Mus musculus: one gene and its partners. The protein of the gene in region 1 purifies or fractionates together with the protein of each later gene. This does not show direct contact. Links are inferred from orthologs where the notes say so. Each region holds a gene or a part of one and is shown on either strand. Other genes may lie near its edges.

Evidence for each region.
Region 2: the proteins of Rab1a (region 1) and Gdi2 purify together in Homo sapiens (affinity purification with mass spectrometry; 6 studies listed by BioGRID and IntAct, counting the BioPlex papers as one, with this or other methods). This does not show direct contact. The link is inferred for Mus musculus from reciprocal best matches to the Homo sapiens genes RAB1A and GDI2.
Region 3: the proteins of Rab1a (region 1) and Gdi1 purify together in Homo sapiens (affinity purification with mass spectrometry; 7 studies listed by BioGRID and IntAct, counting the BioPlex papers as one, with this or other methods). This does not show direct contact. The link is inferred for Mus musculus from reciprocal best matches to the Homo sapiens genes RAB1A and GDI1.

The regions. Positions count from the first base shown.
Region 1 is NC_000077.6:20,220,540-20,226,969, forward strand, and holds the end of Rab1a (ras-related protein Rab-1A), read left to right. Parts: exon of another isoform or gene 1-1,169; intron 1,170-2,327; exon of another isoform or gene 2,328-2,544; coding exon 2,545-2,640; intron 2,641-3,827; coding exon 3,828-3,959; intron 3,960-4,108; coding exon 4,109-4,306; 3' UTR 4,307-6,317; downstream 6,318-6,430. UniProt on the Homo sapiens protein: The small GTPases Rab are key regulators of intracellular membrane trafficking, from the formation of transport vesicles to their fusion with membranes.
Region 2 is NC_000079.6:3,553,886-3,560,315, forward strand, and holds part of Gdi2 (rab GDP dissociation inhibitor beta), read left to right. Parts: intron 1-526; coding exon 527-661; intron 662-2,428; coding exon 2,429-2,627; intron 2,628-3,040; coding exon 3,041-3,172; intron 3,173-6,106; coding exon 6,107-6,206; intron 6,207-6,430. UniProt on the Homo sapiens protein: GDP-dissociation inhibitor preventing the GDP to GTP exchange of most Rab proteins. By keeping these small GTPases in their inactive GDP-bound form regulates intracellular membrane trafficking.
Region 3 is NC_000086.7:74,309,254-74,314,361, forward strand, and holds the end of Gdi1 (rab GDP dissociation inhibitor alpha), read left to right. Parts: intron 1-709; coding exon 710-881; intron 882-1,136; coding exon 1,137-1,281; intron 1,282-1,384; coding exon 1,385-1,439; intron 1,440-1,533; coding exon 1,534-1,686; 3' UTR 1,687-2,614; downstream 2,615-5,108. Other genes in the region: protein FAM50A, read left to right, coding at 3,962-4,072. UniProt on the Homo sapiens protein: Regulates the GDP/GTP exchange reaction of most Rab proteins by inhibiting the dissociation of GDP from them, and the subsequent binding of GTP to them. Promotes the dissociation of GDP-bound Rab proteins from the membrane and inhibits their activation.

The DNA of each region.
Region 1 (6,430 bases):
AACAGGAATTTTCTTTTCTTATCTGGTGCTGTTACGTAATCATATTGAGGAAATTCACCATTTTCAAGGGTAGCTACTTTCAGTTTATCCATTCTTTTTTTTTTTTTTTTTTTTTTTTTTTGGTTTTTTAAGACAAGGTTTCTCTGTGTAGCCCTGGCTGTCCCGGAACTCACTTTGTAGACCAGGCTGGCCTCGAACTCAGAAATCCACCTGCCTCTGCCTCCCAAGTGCTGGGATTAAAGGCGTGCGCCACCATGCCCGGCTATCCATTCTTTATATTGGGCTGGAGCCAGTGTCCTTTAACTTCTATGGAATTTCTCTGCAGTTTGAAGCTGTATGAATCAGGTTAGTTATTGTTCTGCTGGCATCCAACTTTCATGTTGATGTGATTATACCCTTCTTCTTGCTCAGTTGATCATTCCTTTTTGGAGTTGTTTTTAGAAACTTTTAAATTCGGGTTAGTCTTGCATTTTCAAGTACCTTTTATAAAAAGGGATTCCTAAAATATAGTACAATACGTATGTGAGACAAACTTTTCTGAATTTCTTAAAAATTTTCTCCCTTTGGGTGTGAAGAGGTGGCTCTGTGCACTGGGGGGGGGTTTAATTTCCCAGCACTCATGCTGTACACACCATAATTTCAACCCCAATAAATCCCATGCCTTCTATATGCTTTTGTGGCTAACAGGCATGTACTTAGTGCACAGACATACATGCAGGCAAAGCACTCATACACATAAAAATAAAATAAAATTTCTCTCTTGGACTTCAGGGATTCAATGCTTATTGTTAATCTACCAAAGACTATAAAGGAATGGGTGAGTTTGCATTAACTACATCCCGAGTCGTCTGCACTTGAAGATTTAGGGTTGCTTGTCTTTAATTTGGGGGTTGTGTGTATAAAGGGTATAAATGGCTGCAGATATGGTCGGGTAGATAAAGTACTTGTAAATGTGAGGACCAGAATTCACCCATGAAAATGCTGTGTAGCTGTGGGGACCCACCTGCAATCCATGGAAGGCAGAGGCACTGGGTTACAGGAGCTCTGTATTCACCGAGAGATCTTGCCTCAGTAAGGTGGAGTGTAATCCAGGAAGACTTTAGCCTTAGGTCTCTATATACACATACTGTACATACACACAAAAAGAAAATGTGTCTGTCTCTCTCTCTCTGTGTGTGTGTGTGTGTGAGAGAGAGAGAGAGAGAGAGAGAGAGAGAGAGAGAGAGAGAGAGAGAGAGAATGAGAATATTCCATGAATTGGTGTTATAAAAATTTAAATGCAAAATTGTGTGTCTAGCCCATTGCATTTCAACTTGATGGGCTGTGTTTTTTTTTCTCCCAAGTACTCTTAAGTCTTTTCCTTTCATGTTTTTTTTTTTTTTTTTTTTTTTTTTTTTTTAAAGATTTATTTATTTATTACATGTAAGTACACTGTAGCTGTCTTCAGACACTCCAGAAGAGGGCGTCAGATCAGATCTTGTTACAGATGGTTGTGAGCCACCATGTGGTTGCTGGGATTTGAACTTCAGACCTTCGGAAGAGCAGTCGGGTGCTCTTACCCACTGAGCCATCTCACCAGCCCTTCCTTTCATGTTTTATTGTTTAGTCATGATGGCCAGGTCTTCACTGATTTTTATGTTTGAAAGAGGGTCTCTCACTATATAGCCCTAGTTGTCCTGGAACTTGCTGTATAGATAAGGACAGTCTTGAACCCACAGAGTTCCACCCCTGCTTTTGCCTCCTCAGTGCAGGGACTATAGGCACTAAACACCATATTTGGCCAGAGGACAACTTTTTATAGTTTCTTCCTTCTATCATGGGTTCTAGGGATTGACTTCTGGTTGTCAGGTTTGCATAGCTTTTGCTGGCCTATCTTGCTTGCTTTTCCCCATTAAAAAATATTTTTATTAAGTGAAGTGTATATGAATGCATGTGCCCAAAGAAACCAGAGGCACTGGGTGCCTTTGAAACTAGAGTTACAAGCATTGGTAAACCACTTAGTATGGGTCCTGGGAATTGAACTCAGGTTCTCTAGAAGACCAATATATCCTCTTAACCATTAAGCCATCTCTCCATGCCCCTTCTCCGCTTAGAAAAATGAGTTTTATTTTAAAGGTGTTTAGAAACATTTTCCTTACGTTATTTTTGCTGAGCCTGAGATAGCACCTCCTTGTTACCCTAGGGCATGGCCGAGCCTGGTCTGTGACAAATACTGCAGCCATGAAGTAAGCTCTGGGCTCTGGACTCTATATTTTTTACCAACAGCCTAGAATAGCCTAGCATAGCTTATGTTCTCAAAGAATTTAGAATTTTGGTATTAGTACTACCTGCTAAACCGTAGGCATTATCTTCTCTTCTGGATTTTTAACATATTTGATACCTGCAATGCAATTTAATAATGTAAGCATTAAATACTGCAATTTAATAATGTAAGCATTAAATACTGCTGGCATCTCAAATCCTAATAATCTACAATTTTCTCCTGTACTTTCTCCCAAGTATGTTTTAATGGAATTGTTTGCCTTCTCTGATTGTTTTCTATAGTGGGACACAGCAGGCCAGGAAAGATTTCGAACAATCACTTCCAGTTATTACAGAGGAGCCCATGGCATCATAGTTGTGTATGATGTGACAGATCAGGTAAGTTTCTAGAGAATGTTACATGTTACCAACAAAGTAGAAAGTAGTGTATGTGTGTGGATTTTGACACAATCTCACTGTGTAGTTCTGGCTGACCTGAACTCACTATGTGGTCAGGCTGCCCTTGAATGCTTTTGAACAGCCCTGAAACTTTTGACTAGAAATTTATTTTTACTAATCGAGAAATAAAAACAACTCATTTTCTTATAGCAAATGTTAAATCTGAACTATCTGAATTATATTGTTAATTTGGAGATAAATTAAGAGATTTACCATACAAGCAAAAGATAAGCGAATATGAATAGGGAAAGAAAATGCTACATTAGCATGATGTCATGTACCTTCAGCTACTTGGGAGGCTGAAACAGGAGCTCAGGAGATTGAGACCTGTCTAGGCAGCAGAGCAAAACCTCATCTCAGTAAAGCAAACACCCAAAGCAGGCATAACTGGTTAATTTTAAATATGTAATCTATTACCATAATTTGTTTGTTCTTCAAGACAAGTTTCCCTGTGATCTTGGCTGTTTATAGACAAACCTGACCTTGGGCTCAAAGATCTGCCTGCCTCTGTCCCCTAAGCACTGGAACTAAAGGCATTCACTACCATGCCCAGCATATTTTTATGTGAAAAAAACAAGGAAAATTGTCACCTGTTTTTTTATAAGATTTCTCTTCCGCATCCCACATCTTGTTTGTAGTGGGGTTTAAGATCAGGGCTTTCTGTATGCCCAGCAAATTGTCAGCACTGAGGTGCACCTAGGCCAAATAATAGTAGCGATACTGTTGTTTTTCATAACCAGTTTTTTGTTTGTTTGTTTTTGAGTCAGGATCTCACAGTGTAGTTCTGGCTGGCCTGGAGCTCAAGAGCTCAGTCTGTATCTGTCTCCCAAGTACTGGAATTAAAGCTGTGCCACTGCACCCAGCTTTTATTTATTTAACAGGATTTTACTGTTTCAGAAACTAGGTCTTGACAATATTTTAAAATTTCAATTTAAAATTGGGCTTGCCTGTCATTAAACTTCAACTGTTTCCCCTTCCAAATAAGCTCTTTTCACTTCAGGCCTTTGAGTCTTTCTTATCATTGACGGGGTCATTGACGGGGTGTATACCTCAAGTTAGTTGATTTCTTTCCTTAGTTAGAGCAGCAGTGGCCTCGAGCAACTGCATCACCATTCTTCTCTCCCTAGGAGTCCTTCAATAACGTTAAACAGTGGCTGCAGGAGATAGATCGCTACGCCAGTGAAAATGTCAACAAGTTGTTGGTAGGGAACAAATGTGACCTGACCACAAAGAAAGTAGTAGACTACACAACAGCAAAGGTATGTATGAGGTTTGACTTTGACACTGAATTTAATTATGGGGACTGCCTCACCCTGTAAAAGCCAGTGAGCTTAGTCCCCCATTCCCATTTCAGAAGACTAAGTCAGAAGGATTTTCCATTGTTCACTGTGCCTTATTATTCTCTCAGGAATTTGCAGATTCCCTTGGAATTCCATTTTTGGAAACCAGTGCTAAGAACGCAACGAATGTAGAACAGTCTTTCATGACGATGGCAGCTGAGATTAAAAAGCGAATGGGTCCTGGAGCTACAGCTGGTGGTGCCGAGAAGTCCAATGTTAAAATCCAGAGCACTCCAGTCAAGCAGTCAGGTGGAGGCTGCTGCTAAAATCTGCCTCCGTCCTTTTCTCACAGCAATGAATTCGCAATCTGAACCCAAGTGAAAAAACAAAATTGCCTGAATTGTACTGTATGTAGCTGCACTACAACAGATTCTTACCGTTTCCACAAGGTCAGAGATTGTAAATGGTCAATACTGACTTTTTTTTTTATTCCCTTGACTCAAGACCGCTAACTTCATTTTCAGAACTGTTTTAAACCTTTGTGTGCTGGTTTATAAAATAATGTGTGTAATCCTTGTTGCTTTCCTGATACCAGATCGTTTCCCGTGGTTGGTTAGAATATATTTTGTTTTGATGTTTATATTGGCATGTTTAGATGTTGGGTTTAGTCTTCTGAAGATGAAGTTCAGCCATTTTGTATCACACAGCACAACCAGTGTCTGTCAGTTTCCACGCATAAAGTTTAGTGAGACGTTATATGTAAGATCTGATTTGCTAGTTCTTCCTGGTAGAGTTATAAATGGAAAGATTACACTATCTGATTAATAGTTTCTTCATACTCTGCATATAATTTGTGGCTGCAGAATATTGTAATTTGTTGCACACTATGTAACAAAACTGAAGATATGTTTAATAAATATTGTACTTATTGGAAGTAATATCAAACTGTATGGTGATAAGTATTGTTTTAATTCCTATGATTAAAGGGAAATAGAGCTTTGCATTCTACTCAGCAGCCACGTGTGTGCAGCAAGGGCACTGTAGACCTATCTTAATAGCACAGCATCCAGGGTTTGCTTTCTAGTAATAGGTCTGATGAGTGACCTAGAGAAGCTTTTGTGCTGTGTAGAGACTTCACCACCTTCATTGGTTCAAGGAACTCAAACTCTAGTGCTTCATCTCCAGCCCAGGCCACCTGAAGTGGCTTCACCAGCAACCCTTTTTTCCCTCATCTGTGGTAGAGATGGAGAGCAGCCCATGCTTCCTCCCAGGCAGTGATCTGGTAATAGTGCTGGTGTTTCTTCATGCTCAGTCTGATGGCGCACACACCTTTTTCTTTCTTTTTTCTTTTTGGCTATTGGAGATAGGGTTTCTCTGTGTATCCCTGGCTGTCCTGGAACTCTCTCTGTAGACCAGGCTGGCCTCGAACTCAGGGATCCACCTAGCTCTGTCTCTGAGTGCTGAGACTGAAGGTGTGCGCCGCCACGCCTGGCTTTTTTCCCCTTTCTTTTTTGAGACAGGGTCTTACTATGTAGCCCTGGCTAGCCTGGAACTTAAGTATGTACAACAGGCTGCCTCCCCCTCCCCCATTCACCTGCCTTTTCCTCAAAAGTGCTGGGATTAAATGATGTCCCAGACTGCACCTATTTTTTGAGACAATGTCTCATATAGCTCAAGAGGCCTCAAATTCACTTGTAACCAAGGATGCCCTTGAACTCCTGATCCTCCTGCCTCCACTTCCAGGTGTCAACTTTATTCTTTCCAATTGTATGAATCATGTTGGTGGAGAGTTTAAGCATTAGAATAGAAAGCAGGAAATGTGATTGCCCTAATTGTAGAAATTCTATCTCCCCCCCCCCCCAAATTAAATGAAAACATGAACGCTAGATGGGAATGATGGGAGAAATAATATATTTATTTCGGTGAAATTTTGCATGTGTGAAAGTTTGTTAACTAGGATCTTCGAAATCCTAGACTTTGCTTTTGTCTTACTGTGGGAAACAAAGTCTCTTGCAGACACTAGCATTTTAAGGTGACAAAGGTCAGAGATTGTTTCCTTTGGTTTAAGGAGCAGCCAAGCATTCTTCAATTGGGGGCTAGGGTAGGGTATGGCTGTTGATAACACATTTTATCATGGGGTCTTTAATGATAAAATATTAAACTAAAAATAAGCCAGAAATTACAGGTTTATTTTTCACTAAACAGACAATTGAAATACATGGTACAAAAATAAGTGGTAAGATTATTGTAAATTGAAAAATGGACAGAATAAATATTCAATTTAATTTTCCATCTATGAGAATTTCACAATAAAATCATAGTTTACTTTGTATTATAGATGCGCTTGTTGGGTCTATTCATCCTTATATATAAAAAGGTAACTGGAAACTCCTCAAGTCACCAGGAATTGGGTCAATATCTTTTATTTTTTTGTAGCTGTTGGTTTTTTG
Region 2 (6,430 bases), on another chromosome or scaffold:
AATATAGGTTGATTTTGAAATATTTGAGCCGGCGTGGTGGCGCACGCCTTTAATCCCAGCACTCGGGAGGCAGAGGCAGGCAGATTTCTGAGTTCGAAGCCAGCCTGGTCTACAAAGTGAGTTCCAGGACAGCCAGGGCTATACAGAGAAACCCTGTCTCGAAAAACTTTAAAAAAAAAAAAATTGAAATATTTGGAATTGTCTGTGTCTGATGTAGAACAGAGGGGCAAAGTTGCCTGAATTCACTTGTAGTAAAGCAGACCTCTTCTCACTGCCAGTTCACATTTCATGGTCTTTGCACAGCCAAGTCGATGAGATTCATTAGCCTACAAGTTGTAGCACTGACCTTCAGCGTGTATGTAAGGTATGTATTTTAGCGGCACCACCTAAAATGAGGCATTGCAAGTTTCTGGTAAGACCTGCTATACAGTGTTAGGACAAAGTTGGGAGTCTTTAATGGCAAGCTTTGCTTCTTTTTAAAGGTAGTAAGGTTTGAGTGACAGTTTGCATTATGTGGCTTTTCAAGGTCAGTTGGTGAAGATGCTGCTTTTCACAGAGGTCACTCGTTACATGGACTTCAAAGTGATTGAGGGAAGCTTTGTCTACAAGGGAGGGAAAATCTACAAGGTTCCTTCCACTGAAGCAGAAGCCCTGGCATCTAGTAAGTAATTCTCATTTTATTTAACACAATGATGAGATTTTTCTGGTGAAAAGGAATCACAGACATCCATTTATCTAGTCACAAATACTTACCAATTATGTACCAGTTAACTTTAATGTCTGTTCCGTTTAGAAGAGGATGGGAAAGGATATAAAACTAGGAGTTTTCTTATCTTTATCTTTCTTCCAGCTGTGTGTTAGTAGGAACACTGACTCAGAGAGAAAGCTTAGGGTTTGCATATATTGCCCTGTCTCTCTCAGCCTCTCTGTGTACATCATACACATTATTTTTTAGACAAGGTTTTAGGATGTAGCTCTGCTAGACCAGGTTGGCTGAAAACTCACAGAGATCCACCTGCCTTTACATTCAAGTGCTGAAATTAAAGATTTTTTTTTTTAAGTTTTGTTTCATTATTTGCCTGTATATATGTGTGTGCACCACATGTGTGCCTAGTGCCCATGGAGGCCAGAAGGAGGCATTAGATCTCATCAGCCTGGGGTTACAAATGGTTGTGAGTGACCATGTGAGTGTTGTTAACTGAACCTGGATCTTCTGCAAGAGCAGCAAGTGCTCCTAACTGCTGAGCTCTTACACACGTTCGCGCGACCGGCCAGGAAAGACGCAACAAACCGGAATCTTCTGCGGCAAAAGCTTTATTGCTTACTTCTTCAGGAGCAAGCGAGAGAATGGCGAAACCCCGTCCCTTTTAAGGAGAATTATCCTCCGCCTAGGACTTGTCACTCCCTGATTGGCTGCAGCCCATTGGCCGAGTTGTCGTCATGGGGAAGGCAGAGCACATGGAGTGGAAAACTACCCTTGGCACATGCGCAGATTATTTGTTTACCACTTAGAACACAGGATGTCAGCGTCATCTTGCAACGGCGAATGTGAGGGCGGCTCCCCACACTGAGCCATCTCTCTAGGCTGTGTAGAGCAGTGCACTGATTGTTTAAGATTTCATTAAAGTAAGTGACATACAGTGCAGTCACTAAATAAGTTGTGGCTAATTCTTCCTTGGTGTCTTGGTCTTTTCCCATGAGGTCTAAGTGTGTTGTAGCATTCGGAAGAAAGAAAGCAACATTCATAATTTTGGGAACTGGCTGAGTTACAGATAAGCATCATAGAGGAAGAACATTGGTATAGATGCCTTTGGAGCAATTTTTTTCAGTGTTACTTATTTTGTGCCTGATAAGATACAGAATTCAGGCTGGTAAGATGGCTCAGCGGTTAAGAGCACTGACTGCTCTTCCAAAGGTCCTGAGTTCAAATCCCAGCAACCACATGGTGGCTCACAACCACCCGTGATGAGATCTTCCGCCCTCTTCTGGTTTGTCTGAAGACAGCTACAATGTACTTATGTATAATAATAAACCTTTGGGCTGAAGCGAGAAGGGACTTGAGCAAGCAAAGTTGACTGGAGCGAGTGGACTTGACCGGAGCAAGTAGAGAGAGGTCCTAAAAATTCAATTCCCAACAACCACATGAAGGCTTACAACCATCTGTACAGCTACAGTGTACTCACATGCATAAAATAAATAAATAAATCTTTAAAAAAAAAAAAGATACAGAATTCAACTCTGAAACTATGTACCATTTACTGAGGTTCTGCTGTGCAATTGAGTGCTGTGAATGATCTGTTTAGAGAGTTGTGCAACTAGAGTCCAGGTTTTGTCATGTTGAGTCATGACATTGGTGTTTAAAGTGCCTCCACAGTCTTACTTTCTCAGTGTCTTATTCCATGTGCTTTTTGGAAAAAATATTTTTCAGGCTTAATGGGACTGTTTGAGAAACGCCGTTTCAGGAAGTTCCTGGTTTATGTTGCCAACTTTGATGAAAAAGATCCTAGAACTTTCGAGGGTGTTGATCCTAAGAAGACCTCCATGAGAGATGTGTATAAGAAGTTTGATTTGGGCCAAGATGTTATAGACTTTACTGGCCATTCTCTTGCACTGTACAGAACAGATGAGTAAGTAGGCTAATGGCTCTCATCACCTAGCTGTGCAGAGGCTGTGAGCTATTGTCTAGCAGTGCTAGGAGGTGTCTTCCTGCATGTGGCTTTAGGCAACTTTACAGTTCCTGTATTAGATCAGATATTTATTAGAGAGTATCAACAGCAGAAAAAAGGGTGAGGATTCCAGTCAGGAATGTTTGGTTTTCAGATCTGTGTTTTTCTTTAAACTTTGAACTCTGAGACTGTTAAGTGTGAAACTTAGGACTTGTATGTTGCTGTCTGGCCCTGGGAAAGAGGGTCTATTTGCAAATGAGTCTAAGACTGTTTTAATTAGGGGATAGTCCTTTGAGATTACTGCAGGAAAAAGAGTTTAAAATCAATAAGAAGTAGTGTTTTTCTAATGTTCATTTGCTTTTTTTTTTTCCCAGCTACTTAGATCAGCCGTGTTGTGAAACCATTAATAGAATTAAACTTTACAGCGAGTCTTTGGCAAGATACGGTAAAAGCCCGTACCTGTATCCGCTTTATGGTCTTGGAGAATTGCCGCAAGGATTTGCAAGGTGAGTACCTATTTTACCCATTAGCCCTGAAGACCTTAGATTTCATCCTGACTGGTGAAGGCAAAAAATGTCTCTCAATAATGAAATGCTATTTGCTTGTTTTCTATTTTTGAGATTTTTTATTCTTATTAAAATTAAATAAATTTATGCATAATAAACACAAAGCTTCAGTTAAGTGAAATATAGTTTGAAAAGTATATAGACTTTATAGACGTGTATCATCAAAAATGGTTTCCAGCCGGGCGTGGTGGCACACACCTTTAATCCCAGCAATTAGGAGGTAGAGGCAGGCGGATTTCTGAGTTCGAGGCCAGCCTGGGCTGGTTCCAGGACAGCCAGGGCTACCCAGAGAAACCCTGTCTCGAAAAACAAAAACAAGACAAACAAACAAAAAACATGGTTTCCTCCCCCACAAAGTTACCTTAGGTCAATCGTAACTAGTCCCCTTCCACATAGAAAACTACATTCTCTGCTCATTCGCCTCTGTGGCTTCTTTTTGCTTAGCAGTGTTGATGAGATGGCTTTAGGTTGATGCATGAGCTGAGGACCCACCTATATTGAGAGTCACGATACTGTGTAGATTACATGGTTATACCACACTCCTTGCTTGCGATGTCTAGGTTTCCAGTTGGGAGCTATTATAAATGAAGTTTTTATGAGAGTTCTGTGTACAGATAATATTGCTGACTGATGTTGAAAGTAAGATTTTAAAAGTAATAAGCCACTGCTTTTCTGAGCACTTGGGCCATTTTTATACACACAACACTGGGAATTTTATTTATTCCATACTTATTTGGTACTGTTTATTGGCATTAAGGTTATATTTATTAATATATGTGTGTGTGGGTGTACGTGTGGGATGGACATGGGTTCTTCCCTACGTAGTGGGTCCTGTGACTTGAACTTGATATCAGGTATATATAGTAAGTGTCTTTATCAATTTTCTTTTTTAATTAAAAGGTTTTTGTTGTTGTTTTTGTTTGTTTGTTTTTGAATTTTTGAGACAAAAGTCTTTCTATGTGGCCCTGGCTATCATGGAACTTACTTTGTTGATCAGAGTGGATTTGAGATACATTTTCCTCTGTCTATCATGGTCTAGAATTTAAAGCCTGGGTTACAGAGCTCAGTTTTATCTTTACCTTTTTTGTTTTTGGGTTTTGTTTTTTGTTTTTGCTTTGGTTTTTTTTGGTTTTTTTTGTTTTTTTTTTTTCCGAGAAAGGGTTTCTCTGTGTAGCCCTGGCTGTCCTGGAACTCACTCTGTAGACCAGGCTGGCCTTGAACTCAGAAATCCACCTGCCTCTGCCTCCTGAGTGCTGGGATTAAAGGCGTGCGCCACCAAGCCTGGTTTATCTTTACTTTTAATCTATGTTTTTGCCAGCAGTGGATATTGAACCTATGTTCAATTTCCCAGCTGAGCCATCTCACAGGCTCTATAGCTTGATTTTGCATGTCTAGAAAACTAATCTTTATCACCTTTTCATGAGCCATTTGTAATTTTGTGTTGTGATTGTCCAAGTCTTTTGCCTAGTTTTAAAGATTTGGGTAGTTTTTTGTTTTTGTTTTGGGGGTCATCTTGATGTTCCAATCTTTTGTCAGACCCGACGTACTACAAGTATTTTCTTCCAGTTGGTGGCTTGCCTTTTATAAGAAGTTTTACATTTTGTAAAGCTCACTATGTCAAACTTATTTTACATGTGTTTTGAGAACTATGAAATCTTTGGGTAGCCCAAGGACACAAAAGGCTGCTTACAACAGTTTTGCCTTTTCATGTAACTGTAACTGTTCTCATTCACTTTGAATGAGTTGATGCATAAGTGTTGGAGGGCTTGGGCCTCTCCCCAGGGCCCTGGGATGTAGTTATTCTAGCTGTGTTTGTGTGTGTGTGTGTGTGTGTGTGTGTGTGTGTGTGTGTAGCTGTGGGTTTTTCTCTTCTGTCAGTGATCTGGCTTTCCAGTTTTCTTCAGTTTTTGACAGTCTTGCTCTTTGATTATTTAGATTACTTTTAAAAGAGCCAAAATCAGAATTTTAGGTCATGATTTCTTTGGCTACTTGGTCACAGTTTGCTCACATGAGCAGTAATCTCTCATGTGCGGTCCTTGGAGTTAACCGTGTTTCCTGAGGTTGGATGATGTATTTTCATTTGTCATAAATTTCATCACGTTTTTGGGTCCCCCTTTTTTTATATAATACTGGGAATTGATCCCAGGGCTTTACTATAGGTTACGCAAGATTTCTACCATTGACTTATTCCCTTTCTGTGTGGTTCTTTTTTATATGAAAGAAAAAAGAGCTGCTTTCCTCTTGTGTTCCCAGTAATCTCTCCTGGGTTTTCCTTGCCCATTCAGTCCTCCTCTCCCACAGAGACCACATTCTACTTTGATATGGCACACATGTACATTTTTTATCTATTAATATGTCACATTATGTATGAAATATATGTATGCACATCTAAGTCCTCTGTTTGATAACTGTGATTTAAGTCTCTATTTTGCTTAACATGATTTTCAGATCTCTTTTTATACTGATACTTACATTTTTATCTACAATCTGTCACCCTTTTTTGCCTTTATTTACCTCCCAATATCTCCTTTCTTCCCACCTCTCAAATCCTTTCTTCCCAGCAATTCTGTCTCATACTTTCATATCCTGTTTGTTTATGGCCCACTACCTTTAATTAGTAGATACTATAGTTCATCTAGATTTAAGAAGGGAGATTTTAGCGGGGCGGTGGTGGCGCACGCCTTTAATCCCAGCACTTAGGAGGCAGAGACAGGTGGATTTCTGAGTTTGAGGCCAGCCTGGCCTACAAAGTGAGTTCCAGGACAGCCAGGGGTATACAGAGAAACCCTGTCTCGAAAAACGGAAAAATGGGGGGGGGGGATTTTTAACAGTTCTTATAATTGTGAATATAATTGATGAAAAAAACTTTTTTAGGTTAAGTGCCATATATGGAGGTACCTACATGTTGAATAAACCAATTGAAGAAATCATTGTGCAAAATGGAAAAGTGGTTGGTGTAAAATCCGAAGGAGAGGTAAGTAACTATTGTGAAAAAATGTGCTAAACAATGTGGTGTGGACATTGATATTACATGTTGGATATACACATGTGTGCTCTCTGGGTCTGTCTGATTGTTTAAAGTTCTTTTTTTTTTTAACTACAGTTTTTTGTTCTTCCTTCTATATCTTCCCACAGGTGTCTTTAGGAAGCTTCAGGGTTTTGATACAAAACCGAAGTGGCTGTAATACATTTGTTGCA
Region 3 (5,108 bases), on another chromosome or scaffold:
TGAGTTTGCTGCTGCTTAACCCTGAGAAGCTTACAGCTAGGGACTGGGTGGTCAGGGAAACTCTACATAGTTATTCCTGTTGGCAAGAAATACCCTTCAAAATGCCAGGTGTAATGGCACACAGCTGTTTTCCAGTACTTGGGAGCCAAGGCAGATGAATATAAATCAATCAAGAAGTATCCTTCAGAAGTCACATATTTTGTATTCCTGAAAGTATTCTTTTGGAAAGGGTGCCCTGTACCCCGGGCTGGCGTCAGATGTTGAATGTAGCTGAGGATGAACTTTTAATCCTTGTGCTTCCACCTTCTTGATGCTGGATTACAGGTGTGTGTCAAGAGACCTGCTTTATGCATTGCGGGAATCTAACCTGGGGCTTTATGCATAACAGGCAAGCACTCTACCAACTGAGATAACATGCCTCCCCCCAACCATCCTTCAGCCTGCTGTGGTGGGGCATGAGAATTGAGGCTGCTAGTGAAGAAGATCCTGAGGTTGAGATTAGTTTGGGTCAAACAGTCTCAAATAAAAACTCCAGCAGCAGAAAAAAAAAAGCCCATTTTTGTGATCATTGTGTTTTAGCAGTAGGGTCACCTAGCCCTGTATATGAGGGCTGATCTCTCTGAGCTTCAAAGAAAGGGACAGTGATGACAGCTCAGAGCTGCCTGGCTTGCCTTTCCAACAGGTACAAACCCTTCTGGTACCTTCACAGGTGGCCCGCTGCAAGCAGCTGATCTGTGATCCCAGTTACATCCCAGACCGTGTGCAAAAGGCTGGCCAGGTTATTCGCATCATCTGTATCCTCAGCCACCCCATCAAGAATACCAATGATGCCAATTCCTGCCAAATTATCATCCCTCAGAACCAGGTCAACAGGAAGTCAGGTAGGCCAGGCTGTTATGCATCTCTTCTCACAAGAAATCTTAGGGCTTCTTGTGACATTTTGTTACAGAATCCCTGCGGCTTGGATGGCTTGAGCTCTTACCTTGTTCATGAAAATGACAGTTTGAATGCTGTTTACATGTTGGGTTGGGAGCAGGAGCATGTGGGCCAGATTCCTGTCTAGCCTCTAGGAACTACTTTTTGTGTGTGGCCATTTTCCTCTGGTACATGTTAACCAATTGGCTTCCCATGGTCAGACATCTATGTGTGCATGATCTCCTATGCGCACAACGTGGCCGCACAGGGCAAATACATCGCCATTGCCAGCACCACTGTAGAGACTGCAGAACCAGAAAAGGAAGTTGAGCCTGCATTGGAGCTGTTGGAACCCATTGACCAGAAGTGAGAGGCTGAACCAAACTTTATGGGGAGGTTGGGGATTAGGAATGGGCAAGGCCCATTATGAGACTTTTCTCTTCTTTCTTTTCTTTTATTTGCCCCTTAGGTTTGTGGCTATCAGTGATTTATATGAGCCCATTGATGATGGTTCAGAGAGTCAGGTAAAAATGCTGTCCCAGTCAGCCTTGGTTCTTGCAGTCTATCCAAGATCCTCTGCCTGACTTCCGTGAGCCCTGGGGTTCTGTCTATTTACAGGTGTTCTGTTCCTGCTCCTATGATGCTACCACACACTTTGAGACAACCTGCAATGACATCAAAGATATCTACAAACGCATGGCTGGTTCTGCCTTTGATTTTGAGAACATGAAGCGCAAACAGAATGATGTCTTTGGAGAAGCTGATCAGTGATTGCTGACTCCCCTCCTCCAGCCCCTGTTCCCCTCTCCCCAACTTGTATGTCCTTCTCTAGGGCAGGGGAGATGGTATGGCTAGGCATCCTTGTTTCCAGCATCTTCTGCTTCCCCTACCACATTCCAATCACCCACCTTATTGATTTTATTCACTGACCATATCCTTAACCTTAGGGATGGTTTGGGAGATGGGAGTTGGATAGTATCCTCTTTCTTGGTCTGTCCTTGTTCTAGGGAAAGAGAACTTTGTGTGTGTGTGTGTGTGTGTGTGTGTGTGTGTGCGCGCGCGCGTGCGTGTGTGTACGTGTGTGTACGTACGTGTGTGTGCGTGTGTACATGTGTGTGCATGTGTGTGTGCATCGTGCACCCCCAATTTTGCTGTTTGGGAAGGAGTGGAGGAAAAGCTGACCCCCACCCCCACTGCTCTTAGTCCCAAATGTAGTGGCCTTTGGAGATACCCATCTCCTCCCCCAACTCTTAGGTGTTGGAGAGAAGGGACCCTCCCAGCACAAAATTGCATTCCTCCTCCTCCTCCTCCTCCTTATAATTTATTCTAATTTATTAACTTTGGAGTAATTGTCTGAGCCCTCAGCCTTTCTGTGCAGCCTAGGGCTGTAGAGTGAGCTGCCCTGGCCTCTCCCAGTGCTGGCAAAGCCTGGGATGGGAGAAGATTTAGGTGTGACCCCCTCTGGAGGTTGATCTGTTTTGAATTTCTTTTGTGTTGTGTTCACTGAGAAAAAGTAATGTGAGCAAAGCAGAAGGAGGTAGGAAAGTGGATCCAAACCCCAGTGTACCCTGCCCCATGCCTTTTCCTTTAGTGGTGGGAAACCCTTACCTTGCAAAGTGAATGTGTCCCCTTCCCCAAGCTCTAGTATATTTCACAGAAAACAAAAACCTCCCAATAAAACTATTGAAACTTAAGCCTGGCTCTTTAGGTTCTCTGCTTTAAGGCTGTTTTGCAGGACTGGGGCAATTTAGCTTCTGGACTAGAACTGTATCCGCAAGGATCAAGGCAGGTGAAGTAGGTCATCTGGTGTTGGACGGGTCATCATTTACTAGTGGTTTCCAAATCAGAAGTCAGTGTGGAGGTTTTGGGTTCAAGGCTATACTGACCTCTCCGAAGCAGAATAGCACAGGTGAGATGGTTCAATGCATAAAGATATTTTCTATGTGACCCTGAGTTTGATCTTTGGAGCCCATGTAAAGGTGGAAGGAGAAAACTGATTCCACAATATGACCTCTGCACATGTTCAGTGGCTTGTGCACAACATGTAAACAAACACATTTAAATTTTTATGTGTATGGCTATTTTGCCTAGGTGGGTGTGCACAACTTGCATATCTGCTGCCTGCAGAAGCCAGTATCTCCAGGAATTGGAGTTACAGTCAGTTGTGAGCTATTTGAATGCTGGGGATCGATTCTGGGTACTCACCATTGCCTGAGCCATCTCCTCTGCCTCACACAAATTTTTAAAGGAGAGGTATCAGGAGTCTCAGTCCTGGGGGAGCAAAGGGACCTGGACCTAGCCTTGGATGATAGCTAAAAAAATTCAGCTGGGCAGGGGTGGCACACACCTTTAATGCCAGCACTTGGGAGGCAGAGAACAGGCCAATTTCTGAGTTTGAGGCCAGCCTGGTCTACAGAGTGAGTTCCAGGACAGTCAGCTACACAGAGAAACCCTGTCTCGGAAAAAACAACAACAAAAAAATCCAAGCAACCAAATGTGTCAGTGTGTGACCAAGCAGGAGGAAAAACAGCCTCCGTGGGAAGGGGTACACCTGACTGAGACATGGCTCTCAGTTCCATCATCCAAGTTGGGAGCAGCGCGCTCAGCCTTGGGACTAACAGAAAGAAGTTAGGAGGAATGGAGGGCCAGCTTAAGATAGCATTTAACTTTGAGGGTGTACAGGAAGCTAGAGGACCCAGCTCCATGTCACAAGGAACCAGCAGAAAGAACTGGTGATTTCGCATTGGGTATGGGATGAACTCGTCCGGCCTCCTGTGAGGCGGGGCGAGGTGCGATCACGTGTCAGAGCCGCGGGCGTAGGGCAGGGCCTGCGTCCGCACGTTCCCTGGTGGCTGACGTCACGCATCAGCTGACTAAATTGCCGCCGCCACTGCCGTCGCCGTCGCCTCCACGACTTCTCCAAGCAAAAGTCACTGTTGCCGCTGTCGTCGCTGCCAACGCCGCCGCTGCCGCTGCCGCTGCCGCTGCCGCTGCCGCTGCCTCCGCTGAAACCGCCACTGCCTTCGCTGAAACCGCTGCTGCCACCATGGCCCAGTACAAGGGCGCTGCAAGCGAGGCGGGACGCGCCATGCACCTAATGAAGAAGAGGGAGAAGCAGCGTGAGCAAATGGAGCAGATGAAGCAGAGGATTGCAGAGGTGTGGGCCAGGCCGGGGCACCTCAGAGCTTGCGCTCCGCGCGGACCCCCTGGCGGTCTCCTGCCACTCGTCTCTGGGAGACCTCAACAGTGGGCTATGAGTGCCCGGAGGGCGGGCCCCGCGTTGGTGGCGAGACTTGCTGTGCATCTCTAGTAACAGAAGTCAGCCGAGACAGTCTAATCTATAAAATGGGCTCAGTGTTGGTCCATGTCAGAGATGGGGAGCACACTGATGTTGGGTGAGACTCCTTGGCACTCCTCCTGAGTACAGAGCTCCCAGCCTTCCAATGCTTATTGGGAAGACCCCACTTCCTGTGGAGAGGCACAGGGGTATGCCACTGAGTCTCACTCATTACAGAGTACTAGAGTTTCTCCCAGGGTTTGTTTAGTGAGTGGTCGCTGCATTCAGAAGCGCGATACCAAGCTGACCACAGCTTGATCCTTTGGGCAAGACTCCTGAGAGGAGCAGGGGGCCTTAGCTCTCCAGGTGAGAGCAGGCCCTATCTGGGGAAGTGAGAAGACAAACGCCCAAACCAGTCTTCAGTTGGAAGTTTTTTTGTTTTGTTTTGTTTTTTGTTGTTGTTGTTGTTTTGGTTTTTTGAGACAGGGTTTCTCTGTGTAGCCCTGGCTGTCCTGGAACTCACTCTGTAGACCAGGCTGGCCTCCAACTCAGAAATCCACCTGCCTCTGCCTCCCAAGTGCTGGGATTAAAGGCATGTGCCACCATGCCCGGCCAGATGGAAGTATTGTCCACCCTCAACTATGCTTGTATAGACACCTAGTCCTACAGTTCCGGCCTCATTGCCTCATTGGCAGCTGGAAGTTTGCCTCTACTGGCTACTCATTTGGAGGTCCCTTCAGAGTACCTACAGGGCACTTATTAATATGGGGTCAGGCTGAAGAACAGTGGCCTTCCAGAGAGCTGCTGACAGCATCCTGGGCCAAAAAGGAGAATTCCAGGGTCTGGACATTTTGATCCCTCTTTTTTTTTTCCATTTATCTCTTCCTGAAATCCCGTGGCTTGGGTCTCAGGAGCT